Linked DNA regions of Drosophila melanogaster. The protein of the gene in region 1 interacts with the protein of each later gene in a biochemical or structural test. Each region holds a gene or a part of one and is shown in the gene's direction. Other genes may lie near its edges. The genes, in order: pon and numb.

Region 1 (10,965 bases):
AATATATATCGATCGTCAACCCGTGCTCAATTTATTTCTTTTAAAAACATTACAAATTTAGTCAAATGCTAAATCAACATAGTTTTCTATGTTTGGAGTTAACTGGCCGTCTACATTAAATTTAAACATTACGTATGGACTAAACCATACGTGCTTCGGGATTTAAACAATTGTGATCAATTAAAAGCTATAGAAAAATACAAAGCCTAGCACTGGCAATAGCATAATAATGAAAAACTATAACTGGTGGGTGTCATTTCGGTGGCTGTGGAAAAATCCTGATTCGATCTTCTCTACATGATTGCCATGCTGTGATTCAGGGATATCTGTCCGCTGGCCACGCGACTTTTGAGGCGCTGTTTGGATAAATGGGATTTAGGAATTTATGAGATTTTAAATATATGGACAAATCGGGTTGAATGGGTGTTCATTGTCTGACCTTGTTGAAGACATCGCGCATCAAACGATTGGAGCGACGTCTCTGCTCCTCCTCCTGGCGACTTTGGGCGGCCAACACTTCCGGCAAATTTTTGCACCGTTTGGAGGTTATCGCCTTCATTTCCCTGGTGGTAAATAACCTAACTCGAGCTGCAAGTTAAGAAATGTAGTTATTATTCGGACTTCGGATTCCATTTGATATCTTACTATTGGCTGGTGGAGGCAGCTGCTCCAGATGCCTGTTCAGCGCCTCCATGCTGGTACTCTGGCTCAAAACATTGTCCAGCTCCTGGCGCCGAGCATTGCGAATCATCTGCATCTCATTAAGTATGGCCTTGCGCTGCTTGGCATTGGCACAGAATTCGGGACGAGCCAGCTGCAGTTGATCCTGCAGGGAGGGAGGTTTCTCAATCACCTCACTGCTGCCCGTCGGCGTAAACTGGATGACATAGGATATAGCACGTGGACGCACTTGTAGCGTTTGGCGTTGCATACTCTCTGCATTCATCGTGGTCTCCTTGTGCCCTCTTCGCACCCGCTGACATGCCACATCATCGTACTGATGAGTGGTGGTCGTAGTGGTGGTCTCACAGGTGTTCATCATGCCCATGGGTACGGACATGTCCGAGCTGATGCACATCATCGAGGACGATGAATTTGTGGTGGTTGTGGTCGATCTGGTGATTGCCGAGCCTCCTGCTCCACCAGTTGCACTTGCTTCATTTTGTGTCTCTGTGCTCACCATTGTTGCTTGCACATAGCTAGCTACTCCCTGAGAGTTGACCACCTGGTAGTAGATGGCTTCATTCTTATCCGCGCCGGAGCTACCACTCTGGTGTGGAGTGGCATAGGCACTTCCCGCCGCCTGGGCGTACTGCATCTGCATATATTGCTCACGTTCATCGGGCTGCTCCTCTGCTTCCTGTTGACGCCTCTGTGAAAAAGAAAGAGATGGCTTGAGTATGAGGAAGTCGCAGGATTCCTTTTATTGGGCAATAGCCTTACCGGACAATTCTGCTGATGAATGCAAGTCCGCTGGTGACCACATTGAGCACACTGACCGCAATGTTGCTGCCTCTGTATCAATATATCTTTTTGCTGGTTCAGCTGCTTCTGCAGCTGGTAAAGTTTCTGTTGCTGAAGCAATACAAACTGTTGCTGCTGCTGGTTCTGATAATGCTCGCGGAACTGACGCTGCCTTTGCTGGACAAAGGAGCAGACACTTTCGCTGCGACCGCCGCCACTGGTAGAGCTACCTGAGACAAGTAAAGGAGTGGCCATCTTTTTACGGTTCTGCAGATTCCGCTGGTTAAGGTGAGGAGGTGGTGGTGGTGGTTGTGTCGGGGGCGGTGCTGGCAGTGTGGAAGGATCAGAATTGGTCACATTCACTCCAACCGATTCAATTCTCACTGGGGGCGGCGGTGTTGTTGTTGTTTCCGAATTTTCCATCTCTTTGCTCTCTGCTTCAGCTGACATTTCTTGTCGCAGAAGATATTCCTTGTCCGGTCGCTCCTTCTGGTCGCCCATACATCGCATGGAACTTGGAATCTGCGCAGCCGTCGCAGATTCCGTGTTTGCTTTCTTCTGCGACTTGCTGGGCAAACTGATATTTTCCAAAAGATTCTTAAATTCCTGCATGCGATTAATCTCTGTCTTGACCCAGTGGAGCTGCCTCCTTCGCTCCGAATCCGTGCCACCTTTCAAACGCTCTTCGAACTCTATTTCACTCAGGGTCATGGGATTCAGCCAATCCTGCAAATCCAAAGGCTCAATATCTGCATCCGTTGAGGCATTGCGATTCGGTATATTTGTCTTCTGGGTGATCACCTCGCCTGAGCCACTGGTTGAGCCACTGTACGATACGCTTTCAGGCAGTGGCGAAGATGATCCGATAGCTGCTCGCTTTCGTGGAGCGGGAACTGGTGGAGCAATACGTTCAGCTTTGGATGAGCTTCTCGCATTGGATTGGTTCGTATTGGTGGCCGCAACTTGCTGCAGAGAACCTGTAGGCACTGTTTAAAGTATGAATTACTACAAATGCCACCTTGTTGAAGAGTTTACTCACCCTTCAACTGCTCCTTGCTGCTGCTGCTCAGGGAACGCGAACTAGTGCTGGATTCGGTCAGTTCCAGACAGGAGATACGCCTGGCTATATCACGGACGAGTTTTTTCTTCTGTCCCTGGCTGAGGCTGCGAGATTTTACCAAAGAACACAGCAAATCGATTCCTAGATCCAATTCCCCTCCCGGTCTACTACCGGATCCAACGTCTAATGAGGTGGTTGATGTGGAGGCTGTAACGCCGGTGGAGGGATTTACTACAGGGTTCTCGGGCTTCTGGTTCTCCTTGTTCACATGCCGCCTATTGCTCCGAATTTTCTCGAACTGAGCCGCCGTGTACTGTCGCTCTTGCTCGCGCTCCTTTTCGCGCTTTTTAGCTTTTCTTTGGCCCTTCGAGAGTTGCTGGATTCCTTGCTGTTCCCTTTCCAGTTGATGATCCTTTTCATGGCGCTGTTCAGCTTTCCTTTGGTCTCTCATGAGTGGCTGAATTTCTTGCTGCTCCCTTCCCGAATGATGATTCTTGTCCTTTAGTTCTCTTCCCTTTGGTTCCCCTTGTTGCATATCATTTTGGTGCTGCTCTTTTTCCAGTTGCTTCTTTGGCTCAACCTCCATCTCTTGTTGTCTCCTTTGATTGTGTTTGAGCACCTCGACTTCCTGCGCCATATGCATGTGATAATCAAAGCTACTGGCCGACAAACTGCCGTACACCGAGTTGGTTTGTGATTCCCGCCTTGAACTGGAACGCGAGCTCTCCACCCTTGAGCTGACTTCTGATCCCAATCTGGAGCTATTTGGCGAGTTGAGCCTGGAGTCGTCTCTTCTGTAACTGCTCAGCGATTCCCTCCGCGAGCTACTCACCGATGGCCTGCGAGAACTTATCTGTGGATCTTGTACTCGCGAACTAATCCTTAAATCGTCTTTCTTACGCCTGTCAATTGATTCTTCTTCTTCCATTATGGAGTCAATTTCGGTATCATTTCTATTGTAACTGCATTGGGTACCTTCTGTTGTAAAATTTCCACGAATATCTTTTGCTTCAGAACTGCCTTGGGTTGACTCCTTTTGCGAGCTGCTGCGACAGTCCGTCTGACAAGAGCTAACTTCGGAATCCTGTCTCCTGGATTTACGTTGGCACTTCTTTCTAGGATCTCCTTTATTGGAGCTCAATGAACTTTCCATTCCAGAGTTTAGAGACTTCGTGCGTTCGCTGCGATTGACAAACGTGCTGCAAGCCAGTGGCGGCGTTGGCTTATCCAACATTGGTGACGGTTCCTCGGCCAAAAGGGGCTGCACTCCATCCAAATTCGCCTCGGGTCGCTGCTGTGTTGGCTGACGCCAGCTGCAATCCTCCAAAACGGATCGCTCCAGCGTGCTGATGTTACTCATGGACATTGCCCTCTTGCAGTAGCCCACATCGGCAGAAGGATCCCACTCCAGGCGTTTGTGTGACTTAAGGACAGACTCTGGTGTCTGCGTTTTTTTGTTTTGCATCTGGGGCGACTTGGTAGGTGTGCGTATGTCCTCCGCGGATTGGGACATGGTTTGGGTGACTGCTACGGAACGAAAACTGGGGCTACTGGCCAATACAATAGGAATTATAGTGTATTCATTCGGTTTCGTCTTAGTTACTTCCGATTTCGGTGATGTGAACTGACTGATTTTGTGCTTACTGGGTGGTGGTGAAACTGACAGTTCCCGGAGCTGTTCCTTTGCTTCCCCCCGTTCGTCAGGTGAACGATGATCGCTGCTCTTCGTGCGACGCCTGTGGCCTGATTCTGGTCGCGATTCATGTTCCATGGAGGCACATCCTGGCGGCGGGACTGATCCCAGGGCACAACTGTGGGTGCTGCCACTGGCTCCACTGCTTGCCGTCGACGAAAGGGCCATGAATCGATCTAATTCCCGGTCCGTGGCCATTGCGCTGATATATTCCCTAGCTAGTGGAGGAACGCGGGATGATTCCGCCAATTTGTTATGGCGAGAACCGGACATCATCACCTTTCCGACTGCTCCTCTCTTCGCTCTCATGGTCGAAAAAGTTTATTCCCCTTCAATATGTCAGTTCGCCACATGGAAGCAGCGTTAGAAACTAGTTTGATGTGACGCTAAAATCATTCGAAAACAAATTGAGCCACCTGATATCGAAAGTTATCGCCTATCGGTGGCGATAGTTGGTTAGATGCCTTTGTTATCGATATCGATTATTTTGGTTAAAATTACATTACATTACATTTTCCTAAAGTACATACTGAAATGTTAAAATCAATGAAAAAAGCATATATAATATATATACTATTATGTACATAATTCAAATAAAGCATTTGGTTAGTTGATACAAGTGAATAAGTAAAAAATTTTATTAACAGCAATGTAATATGGGATTAACAGGGCCTATTGAGAACCGGTTCGGACGCAGTGTTGGCTAACGATGCAACCGGTTCCGGTTGTCTGTGGATTTTCAAAATGGCATTTGGTGTCGTACTGCGTTGTTTATAATTGCTCCTCGCTGCTCTAGAAAAACAATTTGAATCTGATTAAAGAAACTTAAGATATACACATCGACTTGTGATCGACTGAATAATGCTGGAGACGAAGAGCATAGCTGCATTGGCTTTCACGGAGACGCCGCGCAAACGCAAAAGGGAGACGCTCTATAAAAATGCTGCCCCGCCCCCGAATCCGCAGCAACAACCCCCAGAAAAGGACGCACAGGATGCAGCTGTCGCGTCGACAGAATCCTGCTTCACCAACGCCGCCTTCAGTTCCACGCCCAAGAAGCTAATGGTGGCTCGTCGTCGTTTGGCCAAGGAGAATAGCCAACCCAATCCGTTTCCCGGCTTGGAGGTCAAGTCCATAGCTGATCTGGCCCAGAAGCAGCAGCACCAGCAGCATCATCAGCAGCAGCAACAACAACAACAAAAGCTACCCACGAATCCTTTTGAGGTCCTGCGCCAGCCGCCCAAGAAGAAGAAGCGCGAGCATGCCTGCTTCGAGAATCCTGGCCTGAATTTGGAGCTGCCCGAGAAGCAGTTCAATCCATATGAGGTGAGTTCACTAGTCTAATCGTACATGGATGTACTTTTTGTCGCAGTTAAGTTACAGTAGAAATCATTCATATGTGTTTGTTTTCTAAATAAAACAATATCTTTATAATCTATATATTAAAAACTACATAAAAATCATACATTTATTATATATAGCTATAGAATATTATTATAACTCAGCCATAATATTTTTAGGTCGTCCGCTCGGCAACCACGCCCGCCAAGGGCTTCGTGAATCCTGCCCTGAATTTGCGCGGCAGTGATGCGCCGGCCTCGCTCAATCCCTTCGAGATCCATCGGCCCAGCGAGGCGTCCGAGGCAGCCTGCAATCCCTCGGGTGTGGCCAATCCGGCACTGGCCGATAGGGATTCGGAGGAGCAGCTGCCCACCAGCCTGAAGATCGGCTTGCCATTCACGCCAACGCTGGGCTGTCGCATCGATTTTCACGGCATGTCCCTTACGCAGCTAACGCCTAGCAAGCTGCTGGCCGAGAAGCTGGTCTTTTCGCCCGTTCCGGCGCCCAAACGATCGCTGGGCGCCATCAGCGAGGAGTCGTCTATGGACATTGGCAAGGAGCTGGATCGCTATCAACTGGAATTGGAGAACAGCATCAACGAGGCGAAGCTACGGAAGAATGGCGTGCTGGTGGATAGAGAGTTGCCCAGGAATAGCTTGGAGGTGGAACTGCCCAAGAACACCAAGGTCTCCTTGGTCATGGAGACCAATACGCAGGAGCTGATGATGCAGGAAGTGGTGACGGTGGACACTCAAGTGGAGAGGCGTCTGGTTTGCACCAGACGACGCACACTAACCGAGATTAGCGAGGCTTCCGAGGTGGAAGAGGACACGGAGAAGCTGCTCGAGCAGGACCGCGAAGCAGAGGTGATTCTCGAGCAGGAGAAGATTCTAGAGCAGGAGATGGTCTCAGAGCGGGAACGACATTTAACGAGGGAGAAGCAATTGAAGCAGGAGAAACTCCTAGAGAGGGAAAAACATTTGGAGCGAGAGAAGCTGCAGGAGAAGCTGCACGAGCAGCTCAGGGAAAAGCTCCAGGAGAGGGCCAAGCATCTGGAGAAGGAGAAGCTGGAGGAGGAGGAGCTCCTGGAAAGGCAGCTAGAAGAGGAACGGGAAAAGGAGCCAACCGACGGCGATGTGGCCTATGCCTCCGAATCCGAATCCGACGACGAGCCCGATGATCTAGACTTCAAGGCACCCGCGCGCTTCGTTCGCGCCTACAGACCCGCCGCTCTGCCCTCCAAGGCGGCCAGCAAGGAGTCGCTGCAGTCCATCGGATCAAGCAAGTCCGCCAAATCGGCAGAAGTTAAGCCCAGTATCGGAATGAAAGGCATGATAAGAAAGTCCATTCGAAGACTGATGCATCCCACGTCGCACACCACGCCATCCGAGGTAAAGTCCGAGGACAAGGATGAACATGGACATGGACAGGGCCATGGACAGCACAACATACTCAATAGCATTCGGCACAGCCTGCGCAGGAGGCCACAAAAGGCGGCCGAGTTGGAGGAGCAAATGGAGCCCGTTCTCGCCGACGTCTCCATTATCGACACCAGCGAACGGACCATGAAGCTCCGCTCGAGCGTTGCCCAAACCGAGTACATGACCATCGAGCAGCTGACCAACGAGAAGAAGCACTCACTGCGGAACAGCATTAGGCGGTCCACGCGGGACGTGCTGCGCCATGTGTTCCACAAGAGTCACGATGCCTATGCAACCGCCAAGTGAGCAGGTTGGCTCCACAGATTCAATTGGTGCGTCGATTTTTAGGGGATTTCAAATGGCATTTCTGTAACCGAAAGCATTTAAATTTATTTGTTATTATTTTTGAAATGCGCCTTCCCCTTGTTGAATTGACCCAATTGACTTCTTTTCAATTCGATTTTTCAGCACCTAGTTAAGTTTTTAATTGCACCCAAAGATTGTCACACAAGACCAGCGAAAAAAGGAAAGGAAACCTTATTTCATCTGAAAACCACATCATCACCTAGTTTTTAATCAAGTTTTTTTTCTTAATTTTTCAAGCGAACTCTGCAAATTAATTTGCACACTGTTTATAGTTTTAAGTTACTTGATGTTTGCACGTTTATTCATATATGTATGTATGTATGTTTGCCCATATATCTTTATATATATATATATATATGCTTTCTAATATATATAACATTTGTTTTTTTATACATAAACGTGTGATTTCCTATTCTTGGACCGATTTTTCCGACTAATTTGTGTGTACAGATGCATCAATTTAATGCTAATGACTAGCAAACATTTAAGTTGATAAGTTAATATACTTGCTTAGCTTATGGACATTTTTGTATAGCTTTCAATTATTCATTATCCCGTTTGTCCGGACATTTCTCTCTTGAGCGGACTGCCATCCTGGAGCACACCTACTTGTAGACAGTTTGGAGAAGGGGTCGCCGCCGCTGGTCGATGGGCTTGTAGGCGTGCTGATAGACACTGGCCAATCGCCAGTGCTCTGGATAGCCGCCCTGACCCGCTCCGCCCGCTTGGCTTTGGAAGGGCGGCACCAGGGTTTCGATGTCGTAATTCTTTTTGGCATACGGCTGCCGGGGGCGTGGCACCACCAGAACCCTACCACCGCCACCGCCACCTCCTCCGCAGCCCGGTTCTATTCCCACGAAATCACCGGAGGCATTATGCTTGGGCACTCCGGCGCGAAATGCCGCCTTACTGGTCAAGCAATGTCCGTGTCCGTGTCCATGTCCATGGTGATGACCATGTCCGCCGAACGATGGGGGACAGCATCTGGGAGCTGGAGCCACCTTGTGGCAGAGACGTCGAGCTGGACGCCGGAGGAGAACGTCTCGCTTGCATGGTGGACCACCCGTTGGCCGGCAATCCATGGCCCTGCAATCCTGTCCAGAGTCCGGACCCAAATATTTCTCCCTCAAAGCCTGGTAGGCTTTGTCGCCCAGCAGGGGTGACGATTGATACTGCTTGGCTAGACGATCGGGCATCCCGCGACCGGGTAGCTCCGCCAAATTGCCGAAACTCACACCGCCAGTTGGACCGCCGATGCCCGATCCTCGCCTGCAATGCGATGCACTGGAATCGCGGGAGACACTGCGTGCTCTTTGTCTGGCCGGTGGCGAGTAGTCGCAGGCGCACGGATCCTCGCGATCCACACGGGCACCGCCAAAATCCGTTCGCTTCCTCAGGATGTCCTTGTCGAAGAAATCGGCCTCACCAAGCGTGCTGGTGAAGACGCCAGCCGATCGGCCCAAGTCCGAGGACTGTTCCTCGCGAGGCGTTTTCACGCAGGTGAAGACAGCCGGTCCAGCGGAGTCATTGGAGCCATCTATGTGCCTGGCCAGGCGCGGCTCATCCGATGGATTCGCCGGCTTGAAGTCCCAACAAATGGCCAAATCCATGGGTCCCATCTTTTTGGCCGGAGCGGAGCCAACACCTCGAAAGGCATCGCCATTGCCGAGGGCACGTGGCACGATGCCACCGCCGGTCTTCGGACGAAAGACCTTCATCTTGGTGCAGTGCGTCGGACCAGCATTGTGCGTTTTCACACCCACGCCCGTGGCAATGGGATCGATTTCCAGGGCCAGGCCAGCATGTCCGCCGGATATTTGCGCTCGCCGGAATGCCAAATCGGCGACGCAATCGGGCAGCGGCTGGTGGTCCAAATTGTCCTGGTGCATCCGTTTGGCCAGCTCGAAATTGGCATATGCCGGCACCACTGGCGATGGACACCGCTCGTTGGGCTTCTCCGTGATCGAGTGCAGCGGCATCTTCTTGATCAAATCGGGTTCGGATACGGATACGGGATCGAGATCAAAGCTTCGTATACCCACCGTCGGCAATGAGATTAGATCCTTGCCCGGCTCCAGGCACGCAAAGCTCAACTCGCTGCTGCGCTCCAAGTGATCCGTATAGCGATTTTGGGCCGCTGCCAATGCCGGAAATTGACGACCGGCCGCCGAGCCCAGCTGCTCCCTGTACTTGATGGGCTGCGTGTCGCGCGTGTCCAAGGTGAGACGACCAAGTGGCACGCTGTCCGTGCTGTTGCGTTTCTGGTCGAGGAGCTCCTGGTGCGAGGGCAGCCGGAACTGCGGCTCTGTTAGGTCGCCCGGCGTGTAGCTCAGTTCCGGGAGAGCTGTTTGCGACATGATTGGATGGAGTAATGGAGTAGGTGGCTTTCAGGTTCGTTCACTTGTTGCAATGCGTTGGTGGTGCAGAATGGAATGGGATGAGATAAGATGGAGATGGAGATGGAGATGATAATGATGTATGATTTATGTACATATGTAACAGATGGTTTAACCTGGGTTTAGTTATAAAATATATATGCTATATGATTTGTGTTGAGTGCAATCGTGCTGCCCTTTAAAATGTATTTTAAACCTGCGGTTACAATGAATTTGATTTGAATTTCGGTTGAACAAAATAATGAAGTTTTACTAATGGCCCTTCGCCGCCTTGCGCTCTTTCTCCTTGCCCTTATCCTTCGTCTTATCCTTCTTGCCCGCCTCCTTGTCCTTTGGCTTGTCCTTCGGCTTGTCCTTGGGAGTGGCGACAGTCGCCGCCGGTTTCTCCGACGATGGAATCGGCTTGGTCAGCTCATTGGGATGCAATGCCGTTCGTCCTTTGGAAAAGGCGGTTATGGTGCGCTTTCGACGCCGCTTTTCGGTGGCCACACCCGTCGTCTTGATTGCCTTCGGCGTCATCTTCACGGTTTTCTCGCTCTACGGTTGCAGGTGAATGTGAATGTGAGTGTGCAGGGTGCAGGATGAAAGTGCAAAAAGTGCAACCAGAAATGAAAATATGTATAGCTTGGTTGCAGATAACTCAATAATCTGGGTGCACATAATTGGTAAGAGGTGACACCGATGGTGACCCCGATGGTGACCCCGATTCCCACTCACCACCACGTCGCACTTGGCCCGATTGCAGCGCGCACTCCGCTCGCTCAACGCCCTCAGCTTCTGTAGTCCCTCGCACTTCGTCTGGCACCGTTCGCGCATCCAGTAGGGATCGTCCTTGTGGCCCAAGGTCAACCGCTGATCGCAGGCCAGTGCCCTGCGGTTCTCTCGCTGACAATTGCACAGGTCACGCGGAAAGTCAACAAACTTGTACCGCCCACTCAGACAGGCATCGTAGTGGGCGCAAAAGGCACGGGTTATTCGACGCGGTAGCTCGTAGGTTCCACGATATTGGCCAAATGAGTTGCCCTCCCTGTGGATTAAAATTAAACTGTATAATTGTGGGGCATTGGCAATTGCTTACTTTATCACTTCGGGCAGCAGGTGACCGTTATTGGCCGCCACAACCTTGGCGTTCTTCTGCAGACCACGTGGGCGGGGTGGTGAGAATCGCGGATATTCCCAGTTGTTGAGACGCTTCGACTGGAATCGGCCTTCGAACTGCAACGA
Region 2 (10,915 bases), on another chromosome or scaffold:
TCCAATAAAATCATGTTTGGTTCACACGATGCTCAACCCTTCAAGGTTTCGGTGTCCTCTAATGCTGGTATTTATTCTATATTTTTATTGCAATCCTCTATTTATGGCCTCTAATCCGTTAAATGCTTTTTAATTGCATCTGCAACCTTATCCCGGGGACACTTGAAAATTTCAGTTCGCATCGGCAGGGAAAAGTGGGCGGGCTAGGGGCAGAAAATATAGTTTGAAAAGAGGGTGGTTGAGAGGGCGTGAGCAACCCCAGGCTAATTGGTTGGGCGTGAAATTTGTGAGTTTAATTTTTTAGGACTCGGTTAGCTGTCAACCCCTGAAAAATTAAGGACCCCTACAATTTGGCACTGTGGGAGACGAAATTGATAAAGAACCGAGATGCAATCAGCCAAAGTAAACCACTTTTTATCGGCTTAAAATAACATTGGTTAGAAAGTCCGCCAAAGCAAAAAAAAAAAATATCCATAAGATAAATAAGTAGGGTTACAATTAAACGAATTTAATTTTTAATTTTATGATGTCTTTAACCTAAAATAATATACTTGAGTAATGATGAGTGTGACAATAATGGTGTTTTTTGTTTTTTTCCATATATGTATGTATGTAGTATTATTTACTAAATTGTATCTTTAAAAATAAATGTATGGCAATAGGAAGAAGAATTTGATATACAAAATCTTTTTTAAACACAATTAATTCCTATAAGCGTACATACCTTGTGATACTTTATATCCTCAGTGCAATAACTTTAAATCACTTTAAGCTTCAGTTCATTCAACCGCAAGCCGAGCTTAGCATTAACAAAAAGCTCTTTCACCTGCCCGACAAAGCTTTTAAGCCCTCGAGCCACTCAAGTTTTGCGGCTCAGCTCGGCGACGTCTCAAGAACGTACTCAAGAAACGCTCATAAGCAATAGGCTAAAAGAACACATTTACTTGGCCAAACACATACATAGACATACACACATGCAGTTTTAAATTAAAAACAAATTGCGAACACGAGACAAAATATGTTAGAGCTGTCATGACCCTAATGACCGTGGGAACTTTTTTATAAACGTCACTGACATTGTCAGCTGAGTGCCCAAGTGTGAATGTGCATGCATTGGGTGTAAGCAGGCTCTTAAGTTTCTTTTAAGAGAGACTTGAGTTCAAGCATTGCCAGATTAAAAACATTTTTAAAATTTTGTAACGGAAACAGCAGCTTAAATAATAACTTTAATAACTGCTTTAATACTCTATTTATAATAAAGAATATTTTTTTCATTTCAGCTTTTTCAAGGCACCTTAAACTAATACAAGGTAAGCAATTTCAAATATTTTTTTCAACGAGAGAGAGAGAACGAAACAACAAACAAGTTTTTTTCCGTAATATATTTTTAACAATTTTTCCTAAACCCAAAATGGAATTAAATCATCACAGTTAATATACAAACCTTTAAAAAATCACAAAAACTAAATTACCTTGAATCTTGATTATCAAAACATTGGGTTAATCGATTATTCATCACCCCCTTCGAATTGTCGCAAAATTATTTCAATTATTGCCCAACAATTGATTTGTTAATCTTCTTGTCTGCAAATGGAAATCCTTAACAATTGACCCAGCAATTTGTATGAGTAATTGGCTTCTTAATCGCAATTACAGGCCAGATTGGGTTCAATTCGAGTGAATTGATTCGGTTTGGATTACTCATGCCAACGTATTAGACTGTGTTTGAGCGTATTTGTTGCCATTTGTTGTGAGCCTTTCATTGCGGCATTTTGCGCATTTTGATTGAAATTTTGATTAGGTTGCACATGTGGCTTTTGTCTGCCCCGCAGCTCCATTGACTGACATTGATTTCTCAGCTTATGGCCATTTCCCTATTTCTATGCTTCCCTATGCTTCTTCCGTTTTCCCCTTTCCCCCATTGTCTGGCATTATCTTTTGTCGGTTCATACCAGCGGAGCTGGAATTATTTGTCTGCGACGGGAGGTGGGTGGGTTGTCTGGGATCTGGGGTCTCCTCATTCAGTGCTAGCTGTTTTCATTATGGTTTATCTAAAAGTGTCGAGTAATGTCTGTAATGGCTTTAACACATTTAACACACGGAAAAAGGCATAACCGTCTTTAATTTTAACGTAATGGAGTCAAATGATAATGGACATAAGCTTTATATAACTAACATCTTCTCGTGTTTTGAGTAAATCAATTCATAAGTATGCACTTATTATGGTTAATTTTGATTTTATTACTTTTTGAATAACTTATCCCAAGCTCGAAAAAGTTTGAAAATTTTATGTCATCTTTTAATGAAATTTGGAAATATTTGTATTATTAAATGATAGCAATAAGAATTTACATTTTTTCTGAGTGCAAGTCTGCTTTTTTCATCAGTTGCAGCACTTTGTTTTTTCTGCATTTAAATTGCGATAATGTTGGCGCGATTGGGTGCCATGTGTAGGTAGCAATGGTTTGCTCCCAATAGTTTTGATACCATTCTTTTTACTACCTGATTTTATGGGCTACCTGGATTAAAGTCGCTGCTGCATTGCAATTTTTCGCACGTTTCATTGCTGAAAACTCTCTTATTATCTATATGTATGACTGTCTCACGCGCACATTTGGGTATTTATCTTTCGGAGTTATCTATGTTTCTCTTAGGGTACAATTTTCTCTTAAAGAGCGAACGACCTTGCATCGCGCGCTCTTTTGTTCTACGGTTTCGATCGATCATTTTGCCATTGTTGTCACGGAATTTAGGTTGGGCAACTAATTCAAATCGATAAGTTCAATACATTGATTACCGAGCCTTGATTATTGTTCAGTTAATCAGTTTTTATTCTTTTCATTTGTTTTGTATGTCCGTTGGGATTTCATAACCACCTAGCCATCTTTTGCATTTTGTTAATAGCTAAGTCTTTGGTAACTCTCTTTGATGACTCTCTTGAGTGCCATAATCATTTCCATTCAAACCAAACCACTCGCTCTTCATACTCCATGTGGAAAAAACTGGCAGCTGCAGAACCAACGAAACCAACTGGTTTTGAATGCCCTTCTATCACTTCAATGGGGTATCTCAAATCCTGATTTCGAAGACAAAAAAATTTTCGGGATTAGTAATTTTTATTACGCAAGTTTTTAAAGATAACATCCTTAAAACTTGTAATTTTTACACCCGTGCAAAATTCATAATTTATTTTACAAAGTTTCCAAGAATTTGAGCGCTGCTAAAGAAAGACGACTAAAGACAATTCCGAACTTTAAATCCAAGGCGTATGGGTTAGCGATAAATCTGAGAGCCAGAGATATTACAAAACAATAAGAGGACCTTTTTGAACTACCCGGCTTTGTAATTATCTTAGCACTGGCCCATTTGGGAAATTCCCAGAGTTAAATAATAAAATTGAGCTCGTGTTTTCCAAGAATTTTCTCAACTTATCCCAACCGCAAATCTTTTAAGCCACGGTCACCAAATCGCGATCTCTAAATGCAGCGCATCTGAGATTATACCTGGCCGAGATACCTTAAACGCCACTCTCGCTCGCTCAACTTCTGCTATCTCACTCCCACTCTTGAAAACCTACAAGCTGCAGAAACGCGTCGCAGTTTTATCATTATCACAACAAATACAAACGCAGCAGAGCGGAGGTGAGATGGAAGAAGCAAAACGACGTCGTCGTTGGTAGTAAATAAACACAATGGAACTGAGCAAATCCACAAACGTACTGGTGCACTGAAAAAATCACTTTAAAGTTTTAAGAGGACTTAACAACTTGTAATATAATAAATAAAATAAAACACTATGATAATAATGGCTTAATAGGTTGTATTAAAAGCGCGTAATAGAATAAGGCAATACCCTTTGATGACGACCTTTTCCAAATCGATAGAAAAGTAGTAAGATCACTCTTCCCTCAAAGTGATCTTAACACCACATTTAGTTGAAATCAGGGCCAATTTGTTCGATTTTTCTCAGTGCACACACACACAGGCCGAAACACCCTGTAACAGCTGTCGCTCTCTTCCGCTCTTTGCACGCTCGCACTCTTTCCTCTCGACTCAAACAGCGCTGAGCGTGCGGCCAGAGTCAGCCAGTACAGTAGAGCAATTTGAGCCGCCGCATCGAGCTAACCGCTTACCGCTTGCCGGACAAACGCGTTCCGTTTTCCCTCCGCTTCCATTCGCTTTCGGCCCACTGTCGTCGTCGGTTGTCCAAATGTCCGCGTAGGGATAGTGTAACCTTTTTCCAATTTCCGGGGGGGTCATAGTAAAAAAGTTAACACCTAAGTAGTCCAGGCCTTTTGGGCCAAGCCGATCCCAGCCATCCATTTACCGGGCACCGGGCTCTTAACACGGGGATCGTTTTAATCGGTGTCGCGTTGTCGTTATTTCGGTTTTTCGCGATTTTCCCCACATTCCGTGTGCTGTGTGCTGTGCGAGGTGTTCTTGGAATTAATAAATAGTTAAAACCGAAACGTTGGCAAAAATCCACTGAATGAGCAAGAAAGTTATATAAGGCCCGAACCGGATTTATTTATTAATTATACATACGAATGTGATCAAAACAAAAACAGACTGACAACAAAACTCGGCTTTTTGGAATATACCAAAAAAAGCAACTCAAATACAAACCGATCCCGATATATATATGGTAAATGTTTAAAACCAAAAAAAAAAAAAAAACAGTAACAACAGCCAAAGTTGAGCTTAACTTGAGCTTCGGATTTAAAGCCAAGTCAAAACGAGTTTATTGTGGTGCAAAATCAGATTTGCATATACATATGCAATTCTTTTACAGCTTTACGCTAGTTGTTGCTGCTTTGACATTTGTAAAAACATAATATTCATTTTTGTAATAATTCCAGTTTTTGACGTCTTCAATATGCATTGGTATAGAAAACTAAAAACAGCTGTTCAAACTATGTAACACTATACTAGACTTTGCTTCGCAATAAGCTAAAGTATTCAAAATACGTTTTGGGGCATTAATTTTAATAATCAGGGGGAGTATATCCATTAAGGTTATAGCGATACCAGTAATTTAGAATGAATTACCCAGCTAAAAAACTCAATAAATCTTTGCAGTTTGCACTTGAACATAGCAATTGTTGAGAGAGGGTTAACAAATGAAATATATAAACACAATTAGCAATTAGCTGATTTTGGCTGGATCACATGAACGCACATACATACATACGCACATACGTACATATATATCTAAAAAGTTACGATTGACTGGATTCTACTGGTCTCCAGTCTCTCACGTTTCCGAAGATGAATCATTTGGCATGACTACAACTCTTCGAATCGATCGTATATAAAGACTATTTAGACTATTTCAAATATAGTCCCACATTTCAGTTTAAAATCCAATGAATTTCTGCCGAAGCATGCACATATTCTTACCACAAACTCTTCTCCCAGCTCTTTTGTAAAGTTAATTTATTTTAATGTATACTGTGTGCCAAATTATTTGACTGTCAACTGCATAAATTACTGCGATAACAAACAAAACGAAGAAAAAAAAGAAAAGTGGCAAAGGCAAAATGGAAAATGGGGAAAATTTCCCATTGAAATGAGTAATGAATTGGTTTGGGGCGGCTGAGAACGAAACCAACCGAGAGTGGGTGAAAATATATTATAATAACAGTGTAATTAAATGCCAACTTGGCCCCCGCTTTCGCCAGAAGAGAGTTTTTTGCAGCCGCAAACTATGGGATACTTTTGCTTTGCATAATTATGCTGTTCAACTTGATTTACTCGGAATGTTCTTCAAGATCTTGAGTTTCCACCAAAAGGGCTCCCTGATTTATGCTGCACTTTTTTCTTTTTTTTTTGGTAGCAATGCTTTGCAGCCTGGTCAGATTATAAATCTCAGCAGTTCATAAAAACTTCAGGCAAAAAGCTCCAGCAAAAACCATTCAGAAACATTCCAAGAAAAGCCAGAAACACGAACGAAAAAAAAAACTGGTAACAAGCCGAGGAAAAAAGTAAGAACATAATGCTACCTGGGTGCAGTTGGACTTGAGTTAAGCCAACTCTGGGATGGTGGAGCCGCGTCGAATGGAACCGGTTTGGTGGCTGGCTGGCAGCCAGCCGACTCCAACTTTTCTCACATGCCTTTCGATTATGCCAAGTCGACTGCATTCTTCGAGACGCGGCTTTCGCTAAACGTTTGGCTAAGACCGAGCTCTCAGCTCTCAGCTCCAAGCTCCAGCGCCCCATCCTCGAGCTCCATCCCATCGCTCTGCAAGTTCAACACTCAGTCGAGGAGTTAGACCTCAACTTCAACTTCAACTTGATCGCTGCCTCGGCTGTGGCTGCATAAAACTTTAATTTCATGGAATTTCCTTTCTATTTTTATGCTGCAACGCCGATGATTAACAACAGCAGCAGCAGCCAGCCAGCCAACTGCCAACAAAGAGAGACGTTGGACAAGTCAAGAACACGGGAACAAGTCCAAGACCAAGTCTAACTCCAAGTCATGGCTGCCAGCTAGAACTTCAACTTCTGGGCCATTAACTTAGCTCTGGAGACGGGACACAGCGGGCATGTGGCACCTGGCATTCTACATCTAAGGCAGGAAATTAAAAATGCAAAAAATTGGATAATTATGCATGTAAACGTTTTGTCATTAAGTTGATACTTAAATGCTGCGTCGATTAACAGGCAGATTTTAATAGAAAATAACGCTATTAAATCGGCCTAGAAGACACGGGGATTCCTTTAGGTGTCCCCACTTGTATTTCTTTTATAAAAACCACTTGCAATTGCTTTGAAAGTCTGCAAAAAATTACAATTATGAACCTTAAAGGGTATTAGAGAGTTTGTAACTTTTTGTTTATACTTGGCATTTTTCTTGCCTGCCAATAGCTAACTAGCCGTAAAGCTGAACAGCAAACATTTCGCATTAATGCCAAAAACTTTTCTCGCCTCTCGAAGACCCGACTAAGTCGACACGCCAACTTGGTAATAACTTGGCCTTGGCTTGGCTAAGTTGGCCAAAGCCGCAGCGCCTTAAGAATGTCAAAGGGCATGCTTGGATATGATTACGAGAATTTCCGTTCCTAGCTCCTTTTTTATTGCCTTTAATGAGCCAGTTCAATTTCCGGTCTGTCAGCTGGTTGTGCGCTGATAAAGGATTAATCTTATATAGAAACTATAGTTTGTCAAATTGTGTATGTAATTACTTTAGCTCTGATATAAAATTCTATTGAAATAGAACGTTTATTTACCTATGCCAAATTCTTATATGTAACCCAAATACCGTGACACACCTGTTCGCCTGGCTTATTAGGCAAATAGGGGACTATTTGCGCCAGTATTACTGCGCCCCCACAAAAAACACTAGGATGGCTTCTTTTGGCAAGTATATGGGTTGTTTGTTTAGTTTCCTATCGATTATTTTCATTGGGTATTTGCACTGCCTACTTTTGGGCGCCTGGCACCCGGAAATTGCTAAACCAATTGGCCAACAGCTGTTTTGTGTGATGTCTATTTGCCTGGCGTCGACAGAAGACGAGCGTTGACAATTGGAACAGAGAAAACTAACGTGGTTACACTTTTGTGCGCCATAAAATTGATTTGACTCTCCTCCTCCTTCCCCCTTTTGACGACGAAACTATGACAATCAGAGCAGAGAATGCCACTGGAAAATAGCGGGAGACAACCGTTTGGAAAATCGTCAGGCTTGGCTGACTTTCCATCGCCTCGAATTTTGGACCACTTTGCCTCCGCGACGACCTTTGCCGCCATAAATCGGTTGGATAATCGTCTAAACTTAGCAGTTATCTAAACATAGTTGCTGGTGATGTCACGTAACTTTCCACAAAACTTGTAAGCAAACAAATTCTCCTGTTGTTTTGCTTATCGCAAAGTCACATTTTGAAAAATCCCTTTCCCATTTTAAAACTGTCAGATAAAAAAGAGCTCTTTAGCCAGTTTTACGTTTGCTTCTGTCTGGGAAAGAAAAATATTACATCTTGTGTACTTTGATTACACGACGTTTGCTGGAGATCAACATTTGGATAAATACTTAGGAAATTAAACTACTAGTGCCTTTAAAAATCTTGTTTTGTAATCTAATATATTTTTCTGTCACATCGAAGCATTTGTATCAAGTTTCCAGGGTCATTACAAATTCAGTATAAGGATTGAATAAATTCAAATAAGCTTTGGTTTGGCTATTGTCTTAGGAATTTGTTTTCAACGCATTATACATTCTTGTGCATATTAAATTAGTTCTTAGTATTCCCCAGTGATTTTCCTCTACGATTTTCCCTCGCTTTATGAGTTATGAATGCGTAATGGTAAATGTGCCTTGGATGAATGATTGGTTGTTGAAAATTTCTCTGTGTTTCTCACCTTTGGTCTTCATTTCTTCATTGAATTGCATATTTTAATGGCTATAACGTGTCGCACGGCTCGGAAACAGGTTCCCCGAAAAATTCGGTTAACTTTTGTTAAGTTTGCCACAGCGCGTTGAGTCATTGAAATATTTATTTGCATAATGAGTGTAAACAGAAAGCTTGTAAGCGTGGTTCGCAGAAACAAAATCGTACGCTCACAAAAGTGGCTAAAGTCGAATGTAATTACCGTCGCATCTGCCGGCTGGCGAGCAAACAAAGGATAACAAGGATCTTCGATCGTCCTGTTGAGACACGAACCAAACGATTCCGTTTACCTGGAAATTCGGAAATCGTAGCAAATCGAAGTCACTATGCTGAGAACAGACGGCGGCATGTGCGCGAGTCCGAGTACCCACTTAACCAGAGAATCCTTCGAGAATCCTTCGCCACGTGCACCGAGCCATATGGCAGGATCCTGGTAAAAGGTGCGAAAGAGACAGAAAGCCGAACAACAACTGCCGGCAGGGGCTGCATTCGTTTCAAACGACAGATGCAAACTATTTCGAAGTTGTTCGAATTGTGACCCGCTTGCATGTCTCGTGTTCGCCAGGACAGAACACTTCTTATAAGGTATATTATGTATGGATGTATGGATGGTACATATACTACCTACCTCCACTCCACAAACTCACATGTGTATAGCTCGCAGGCGTGCCTATTGTTTTTATTTTTTCTGTGCCTGCATTTCTACTTCCGTTCGTCGGGTTTTTGAGGTTTCTCTCAAGTGTTTTTGTGCTGGAAATGCTCGTATTGGAGTTTGTTTTGTTAAAGGATGTGGTGGAACAGTTAGGATTGTATGTATACATATTCCACATATCGATTTCCCAATTTCATGTACTCTGATAAGGATAAACTTGTACATAAATGCACTTTTAGAGATGCATTTCTGTCTTTCTTTTTTATTAACAATAATAATAGAATTTGTACCAGACAGTCGCATTTATTTTCTAATATTTGCATCCTGCCAGCATCCCTAGTCACCTTTTTTTTTCTCACACTTACCTTTTCCCACACCCCCCGCCAATTTTTCGATAATTCCCATATAGAACCATATATGGCAGACACATAATGGTCAGATCAACGCCCAATTGACAGCTAATAATTATGCGCAGCATACCCTAGTATTTTGCTCAATGGCAGGAACCCCTGCGCCCGACGACGCCGCTGTGCAATTAGAACCCTGCCTGCCTGCATAGGACATGGGTGCATAGGAATTCCCTCCCCCCAATCTTCTAGTGCTTTAACATTTTAGGGGTGCATTTGGGTCAGCGTGTGAAATACCTTTGCATCCGTGCGTAAAGTAACCCAAGCTAGCGATCGAGATCGAAGAATCCTTCATGCGAAATCCCACGGAGTTCAAGAAACTCTTTTATTCTAGCAATTATTTCTTACCCTTTCTTGGCTTCTATACCCATTGTCATTGTTTTTGGATTTATGTACGAGAAGATGTTGCTGAGTTTGAACAGCTAAATTGCGTCACCGGAAAAAAAAAATCGCATGCTTCCCTTAAGAATCCACAAGTATTCGCCAGATGCTGTGCGATCTTTTGTTGCTGTCTCATTATTTCCGTTTAAACCATTTTTCGGCTTTTTGGCTGCGAATTCTTTGCGCACTTCCTTTAAAGTAACCAAACAAACCGGGCAAAAAGCAATGCTAGCTGTTTTCTCTAAAGATTTATTATCCGGTGAACTTTTTAGGTTGCCCAGATGTTTGGCTGCCTTAATACTTCTCCACTTTTCCCCAGCGGTGCTGCTTGCTGGGGGCTTCAGATACTATTTAGAAAAGCTCATTGGAATTAACTTATATGACTCCATAGGGGCTAACCTGCAATTTATGTGGGCTAAGTAAGATGCGACAAATTTTATTGCTGGCCAAAGTTTAGCGCTTGGGTTCAAATTAGAAAAATAAAGATGGATTTTGATATTTGCAGTATTTAAAATAGTAATTAGATAGTATGATAGTGTATGTTCATATATTTCATTTATTAATTTATCATTATTAATGTTAATCACAAACATAAATATTCACAAAATCCTTTGGAAATCTACCTGGACAAATTTGATACGCAATTTCCGCTCACAAAATCCTTGAAGTCATGCCTCATTGCACCTTATTGTGGTGGCTAATTGAAGTCATTATCGTTCAGCTCCCGCTACCCATAAAAAATGTAAAATACACGAACGCTTAATTTCTCCTTTAAATATTCACACAAAACGTTGGCTGATATATTTCAAATTTATTTCACAAAAAAAAAACGAAGAGTTCCCACGACCACCGACACAAGGAAGAGCATTAAAAATTATAAATTCCTGCAGTTGAGGGCAACCCTCGAAGGACGAGGATGCGGATGGAGGACCAAGGGGCAGAGGAACTCGATGGTGGTTGATAAGACCCCTAGCCAAGCCAAACAAAAAAAAAAGAAGGACTGCAGACAGACAGAAGCGTATGGCGGGAATAATTATAATTTTATATCAAGTACTAGCAAAAAAAAAAAAAACAAGAAAGGAAGCCATT

What was found.
Region 2: the proteins of pon (region 1) and numb are reported together in a solved structure, tested with the Drosophila melanogaster proteins (one study listed by BioGRID).

Annotation. Positions count from the first base shown.
Region 1 is NC_004354.4:4,631,375-4,642,339, forward strand, and holds pon (partner of numb), read left to right. Parts: upstream 1-4,943; 5' UTR 4,944-5,078; coding exon 5,079-5,543; intron 5,544-5,737; coding exon 5,738-7,285; 3' UTR 7,286-7,738; downstream 7,739-10,965. Other genes in the region: Alms1a (alstrom syndrome 1a), read right to left, coding at 294-356, 440-588, 646-1,372, 1,444-2,450, 2,504-4,526; CG3081 (uncharacterized protein), read right to left, coding at 7,951-9,702; CG3062 (uncharacterized protein), read right to left, coding at 9,994-10,278, 10,459-10,768, 10,820-10,956.
Region 2 is NT_033779.5:9,445,738-9,456,652, forward strand, and holds the start of numb (numb), read left to right. Parts: upstream 1-4,092; 5' UTR 4,093-4,644; intron 4,645-4,858; 5' UTR 4,859-4,883; intron 4,884-10,915.